2 linked regions of the Ovis aries genome follow. The protein of the gene in region 2 purifies or fractionates together with the protein of the main gene of each other region. This does not show direct contact. Links are inferred from orthologs where the notes say so. Each region holds a gene or a part of one and is shown on either strand. Other genes may lie near its edges. The genes, in order: SAP130 and SUDS3.

Evidence for each region.
Region 1: the proteins of SUDS3 (region 2) and SAP130 purify together in Homo sapiens (affinity purification with western blotting; 3 studies listed by BioGRID, with this or other methods). This does not show direct contact. The link is inferred for Ovis aries from reciprocal best matches to the Homo sapiens genes SUDS3 and SAP130.

Annotation. Positions count from the first base shown.
Region 1 is NC_056055.1:117,480,322-117,484,140, reverse strand, and holds part of SAP130 (histone deacetylase complex subunit SAP130), read right to left. Parts: intron 536-3,819; coding exon 233-535; intron 1-232. UniProt on the Homo sapiens protein: Acts as a transcriptional repressor. May function in the assembly and/or enzymatic activity of the mSin3A corepressor complex or in mediating interactions between the complex and other regulatory complexes.
Region 2 is NC_056070.1:56,874,441-56,878,259, forward strand, and holds part of SUDS3 (sin3 histone deacetylase corepressor complex component SDS3), read right to left. Parts: intron 3,066-3,819; coding exon 2,960-3,065; intron 1-2,959.

The sequences.
Region 1 (3,819 bases), on a different chromosome or scaffold from region 2:
CTAAGAGTGCTTCTCCCCCTATGCAAATGCCTATTAAGCTATTTACATATGCAGTTTCTAATGCTTACAACGGTCCTGACAGGTAAGTTCTAAGCAACTCATGTTCCAAAGAGGAAACTACGGTTTAATGAGGTTACTTGAGACCACAAAGCCAGCAAGTGGCAGAACCATTATTTAAACCCTACGTATCTTTTCTCTCCATACCAAGTTCCATGTAAAAAATTAAAATTACCTGAAGTCTTTCCTTCGGGCTGAGGCTGCTGGGTCCCTATTGGTGCAGGCTGAAGTCCTTGGGTGCTGATGGGGGTTGCTGAGTGAATTCCCTGTGTCCCGATGGGGGCTGGCTGGATCCCCGGGGTGCCAATGGGGGCTGGCTGGATCCCCTGTGTACTAATGGGGGCTGGCTGGATCCCTTGGATATGTCGAGCGTGAGATGCATCCACTGTCATCAACTGCATGGGGTTCAGGTGGACTGTGGATGCCACCCCTACTCCAGTCTGAGCTGTGATGGCAGAGTTTGGAGCCTGAGCTGAAACTACAGATGATGCAGAAAGTGACAAGAATGTTAGCTCCCTGGTGGCTTAGACGGTAAAGCGTCTGCCTACAATGTGGGAGACTTGGGTTCAATCCCTGGGTCGGGAAGATCTCCTGGAGAAGGAAATGGCAACCCACTCCAGTAGTCTTGCCGGGAAAATCCCATGGACAGAGGAATCTGGTTAGGCTACAGTCCATGGGGTTGCAGAGAGTCGGACACGACTGAGCGACTTCACTCACTCACTCACTCACTCAAGGAGAAAAACACTCAGAAATCAAAACAATTTTTCCACGTTCAAGATCTAAACTCTCAATTTAAAAAGAAAGTGCTATATAAATCTCTAAGCATTGATGTTTTCTCCACCTTACTTTCTACTAATTTGAGATGATCTTTCTGCAGAAATAGCATTAAAATGAGAAAAAGCAACCATTTATTAAAAGCCAAATGTGAGCCAGGCAACTATGAAATAATTAATACAAACTTTTGCGATCTATCCATGCCTCCAAGTCAAGAATCTTTGCTTTAATTGATAGAAGAACCACTATCAGAGGAATTTCTGAAATACAGTAGTTATTAATTTTAAATTCTAAAATATGCACTTGGGAGAGAGAACAATCAACCTGTCCTTTTTCAATCAGCTACCGTGTACATTAAAAACTGACTCAACAACAGAACTGAAAACACAAACATTCCCAGGAAGAAACAAAAAAAGAAGGGATTTCTCACTATTTGTGGAAAGAAAACAAACAAGACTTTTCTTCTCAGAAAACAAATCTGGAAAAAGATAGACGTATCTTCCATGTTCCCTGCAGTGTTACTTACAATAGCCAAGATATGGAAACAATCCATGTCCACTAGTGGACGAGTAGATCAAGAAGACATGGTATGCACACACACCATGGAATAACACTCAGCTATTAAAAAGGAAAAAAACCTGAAACACTGCCATCTGTGACAATATGAATGAATCTCAAGGGTACTGTGCTCAGTGAAGTCAGTCACACAGAGAATGACAAACATCATCTGATCTCACATACATATGGAATCTAAAATGCAGAAAATCACAAACCGAGCCCCTGGATAGGGAAAACAGACCGGTGGTGCCACAGGCAAGGGCAGAGGGCGGGTGAGACAGGCTAAGGTAGCGAGAAGGCATGAACTTCCAGTTAAAGACATTAAGTTATGCAGATATAATGCACAGCATAATGATTACAGTTAAATATACCAGTTAAATCTGGAAGTTCCTAAGAGTAGATCTTAAAAAGTCCTCATCACAAGAAAAAAACCAATCTGGAACTGTATAGTGACAGATGCCAGCCAGACCTGTGGTGATTATTCTGCAATACAGACAAATAATGAATTATTATGCTGTACATGCGAAACTAAGGTATGTCAATTATATCTCAATTTTGGAATTTTAGAATTTCTTGGCAGAAAAGCTACGACAAATCTACACAGCATATTAGAAAGCAGAGACATTACTTTGCTGACAAAGGTCCATCTAGTCAAAGCTGTGGTTTTTCCAGTAAGACATGTACAGATGTGAGAGTTGGACCATAAAGAAGGCTGAGTTCTGAAGAACTGATGCTTTGAAACTGGTGTTGGAGAAGACTCTCCAGAGTCCCTTTGACAGCAAGGAGATCAGTCCATCCTAATGGAAATCAATCCTGAATATTCACTGGAAGGACTGATGCTGAAGTTCCAATACTCTGGCCTCCTGATGTGAAGAGCTGACTCAATGGAAAAGACCCTGATATTAGGAAAGATTGAGGCAAGGCAGAGAAGGGGATGACTGAGGATGAGATGGCTGGATGGCTCAATGGACATGAGTTTGAGCAAATTCTGGGCAATAGTGAAGGACAGGGAAGCATGGCATGGCAGTCCATGCGGTGGCAAAGTGTCAGACACGATTCAGTGACTGAACAACAAATACTTCAATTTTAATAATATAATAAAAATGTTTTATAAATGACAAATAAAAAGGTAAGTTATTATGCATTAAGAATAATGAAGTGATAGAACACGTAAACTTAAAAGTCCCTGTTCTAGTACAATTCTTCCTTTGTAGAATACACACATAGACAATTTCCAGAGCATTCTAGTTTCCTCCTGAGCAGTATACCCATGGTATTTCTGTTACACAACAGTTTTTGGTCACTTGCCTGCTATAGAACCTGCAGTCTAGTTACTACTACAAGCCTTTTTAAGACCCAATCTTATTTCACACTTTATATTCTCACCCACACCGTGTGTGCGTGTGTGCTCAGTCGTGTTTGACTCTCTGTGACCCTGTGGGCTGCAGCCTGCCAGGCTCCTCTATCCATGGGTTTCTCCCATGGAATATGGGCTGCCATTTTCCCTCCTCCAGTGGATCCTCCCACCTCAGGGACTGATCCTGTGTCTCCTGCACAGGCATTGAGACTCTCTAGTACTGAGCAAGATCTAATCTTATTCCACACTTCGCATTCTTACTCACACTAGGCTTCCACCAAAACGAAGCCACTCTGTTTTTTCAAGCACATATTTTAGTTAATACTTTATTCAGAGACAGAAATGTGCTTTTCTCCAGTCCTACCATGGCTCTGCCCTATCCATTCTGAAAGATGCTTCCCAAATGTCATTTCTTTTAGGAAATCATTCCTGACCTCCAACCCGACCTTCTCAAGTAGAAATAACCTCTTAACTCAGAAACAGCATGGCTTTGCTCAAGTCTCTCTTGTGAGCTTGAGCATATTATAGTATCTTTTCACACCTCATCTCCTTACTAGACTCTCAGCTTGTTGAAAGCAACATCTGTTTATAAGTCAATTTTAAAGCAGAGCTAGCATAGGATCTTACATAGAATTTCAATAAATATTTGTGGAATTAATAAATGAATGAATAAATGAATGAATGAAACGGAAAACACCTCTGCAACAAGTGAATTTTCAGGAACAATATGAGAGGGAGCAATTCCTTGCAAAATATATAGATTATATACCTATGCTGCTGCTGCTGCTCCTAAGTCGCTTCAGTCGTGTCCGACTCTGTGCGACCCCATAAATGGCAGCCCACCAGGCCCCCCCGTCCCTGGGATTCTCCAGGCAAGAACACTGGAGTGGGTTGCCACTGCCTTCTCCAATGCATGCAAGTGAAAAGTGAAAGTGAAGTCGCTCAGTCGTGTTTGACTCTTCCCGACCCCATGGACTGCAGCCCACCAGGCTCCTTCCATGGGATTTTCCAGGCAAGAGTACTGGAGTGGGCTGCCAGTGCCTTCTCCGCTATACACCTATAGTCACACACAT
Region 2 (3,819 bases):
GGTGGGTCAAAAAGTGGGGCAAAGAAGGGGTAGAATTAATTTAATTTTGTATCCTCCTGGGAATCCTGATATTAATGCTTTAATTTCCCCCAAAAAATGAATGCCATGTTACAACCACAGGACTGCAAGAAGTCCCAATTCCAGCTGTAAAGAGGCACTGCTGGGGAGGTGGGGGTGGGAGGCTCAAGAGGGAGGGGATATACGTACACTTATAGCTGACACAAGGTGCTGTACAGCAGAAATCAACACAACACGGTAAAGCAATTATCCTCCAATTAAAAATAAAGAAAGAGTCACTGCTTTGAGTTATTAATAAAAGCCAGGCCGGAAGGTTAAATCCACCCGTGCACGTGGGTGGTTTCACTGGATTCACTTTAGCAGCCCCAGATTTAAAAGTGAGGGGAGAAAATACAGTCCACTGGCACCATCAGTGAGTCACCTTAAAATCTCATCTACTTTCACAGTGCTTTCTAAGGAGGGTCATTAGTACAAATCAAAACGTGAGGAAAACCTCCAGCAGGACATAAAATATCTTAAAAGCAGTATACCCAGAGGCAAGGGCAGATGCTCATCTTCCCAAGTGAAACGTAGCCTGATAAATAAGTGTTCAGGCCAAGATGGGCAGCCCAAATCACACTCCTTGTGCTGAAGTCATTTAAAACTCAATGAAATGTGTTTTGCCAGAAATACCGTTTCACAAAAATACTTCACGCCACCGGCAAGAGCAGAAAGCAGTTCAGCAGACCTCTCGGCCATAGGCCAGGACTACTGAGAAAGAAGGAAGAACGAGAGCCTCCAAACTGACAAGGACACGGAGCCAAACATCATGAGCCTGGTCAGACGTGAGAGGCCAGTCCGGCACTGGGACTGTATCAGCCAGGATTCTGGCAAACACTTGCCAGATCCAGCGGACTGGGAGGGGCCCTCTCTCAGCAGATGTGACGTGAACTCTGACCAGCAAGGCCACAGAAGAGGAACACAAAGAATGCAGAAAACAACAGTCATCATACTTAACCACAGAGTAAGCAGCCTGAAAGTCACTGAAATTACCAGATGCTCCCAGACACTTGAAAGATCTCTGCTGCCACTGGGAGAAAGACAGTGAAATGCCTTCCAAATGCTTAGGTGGCTGGACACATCCCACCTGACCACGGTCTACACCGTGAAACCCCCGTCACTGTGGATCCTTTCTTTAGAAAAACAAAGAATTTTATTTTACTGCCTTTTCATATCCTGTAAATCTGAGGACGAAGCCTTAGGAGAAGGAAGACAGAAAGCGACGCAATGACAAAATGAACATCATCTGAAATATCACAGGGCTTTAGGACTCACAGATTCGTAAAGATGTTAGTGATAAATCTCATCATTTTTGAAGATGGTTCTTATGTGTGGGCTTGATCTTTAAAGGTTATTTGGTTTTCATTATTAGAAACATTTTTCATCTTATTTTGCCCCTTGATGTGTTGAGTTGTCAGGGCCTGCCATCTAGTGGTGATGTGTTCTGACAAGCAACCCTAGAAAACAACACAACTGGCCTTTTAGAAGGACACCGAAGAATCAAATGACAGGAGCAGAAGTCACCAAGATCAGGCTAACAGACAGATCCAGCCTTCATCCTCTACTGGGTTATTAACTCACTGTAACCTCACGGGTGGAACTGATTTACTTCAGGCACCACTAGGTCTCTGAGCATTTTTACCAACTTCACACATTTAATACTGGGGCTTTTTTTTTTTTTTTTTAAAGAAACCTCAAAACATTCAAAATAATCATAACTAATTTTTGAATTTTGGTTTAAAGACTGAAACTCAAAACATTATATAACCATTATAAATGGCAATTACAGAGACCCTACAATAACCCAGGGAAACATTCTCCATACAAACAAGTAGAAAGGCAGCATGAAAACATGTCCACCATGACTTACCCTGACCAACAGTATGCCTACACATGGGCAATGAATAAAAGGAAGAATTGAGAATTTAAAGAAAAGGTGGCAGGGTCCAGGTGACCTGACACCTAGCAGATGCCCAGTCACAGAGCAAACAGTAGGAAACCTTTACAAAAAGAGCAAATGCATGAATAAGGTTTTTCATATTGTTTTGCTATTTCCTTCCAAAGACCTCAATGGTGGCCTGAAGGTTTCAAACCATCTTCAATCTAAACTAGTAATGGTTCAGGCTACACCTCTCCCAGGCACATTCCCTGAAACACTTGTGCTGCAGGATGTGGTGTGTAACAGGGTGCACACATGCTCAGTCACTCACTCATGTCCTTCTCTCTGCGATCCCCCCAAGCTCCTCTGTCCATAGGATTACCCAGGCAAGAATACTAGAGTGGGACACCACTTCCTCCTCCAGGGGATCTTCCCAACCCAGGGACTGAACCCACATCTCCTGCACTGGCAGGCAGATTCTGTACCACTGAGCCACCAGGACAGCCTGTGTAAAAGGGTACCTTGGTCAGATAAACAGTACTGAGTAACATCTCATAAATTCACAGTGTACATTAGCGTATCAGAAGACCCAGAGTGCTACAATGACGAAACCCACTGATCTTAGTTATTAGTTAACACAGCCACGGCCCACACTCACCTGACCACAGAATCTTTTCTTCCACAGAACCCCTATTAATTTCAGCATGCAGAGGGCCCAGTTAAGGGGAGACAGAGGGGGACATAAACCCTGACCCCAGGCTACAGGGGCACCACAAAAGATATAAGCCTGCAGGTTCTAGCATGGTGGCAGCAGCATGATCAGAAGAACATGTTTTGGGGAACACTGCCTTCAGAGATCTAACAAGCAGCAGATATCCAAAACTCCTGACACACTTAACCTCCCTCCACCTTTAGTTAAGCAGCAGCCATGCTCTGAAATAATAACTAGAGACAGACCTGGCCCTCTTCCCAAACGGTTCTTTCGAGATACTAATGAGTAACCTATGTTCACACAGAACTTACCATCTTTTATCGTAGTACAGTTTGCCGTCTTCTATCCGAGCTTCAAATCTCTGGGCTGGAGACTCTGCAGGGGTGGTGGGCAAGTGTTCAGGAGAGGATGGGGATGCTGGAGGAACCAAAGAGATATCCCCATGACTAAGCATGTCACAAGCATGCGAGTCCATTCACTAACATGCTTTAAGTGAAATGCTATTTAAAAGGGGGTAAGGGTCCTCGTGATCCTCAAGTTCTTACCGTTGTAATAAATGGAAATTCAACAAAATTCTTGTACATCACATCCTCAAAACAACTCTGCGAGCAGGCAAGGCAAAGATTAACCTCCCCACAGAAGAGAAACTGAAACCTGAGGCTCAGGCATGCTAAGGATGTGCCCAAGGTGACTGGGGGTAGGACTAAAACACCACTGACAGTAAGAAGCTCCAGTGGGCAAGAACTGGAAAAATCTCTTTAAATTTATAAAAATTAAATGTCTAGAAATATTTATCAAGAGATAGAGCAGGTTACTGGGGTATGTATCGAGTCAAGCTAAAAGCGCTGATAACTAAAATGGGATCAAATCATCTAAATTCACAACCAGCCCCACCAGGCCTTCAGACACTCAGAACTTCTCTCCGGACCATAGTGGCTTTCAGGAGGGAATTATTTAGAGTGGCAAGAATCTTGTTTCCTTTCACAAGACTCACCTCATGGACGGATGTGTAAGTAATTGCCATGTTTAAAAACAACAACAACAAAAATGCCTTGCCAGTTCAGAGTTCTATTTTGCAGCCTAGCAAAGACCCTTGAGTGCTGCTCTGAATGAAGCACCCTAAACACTGGGCCTGTCTCTTCTGTAAGCTGGGACTGGGAGTAGCCTGAAA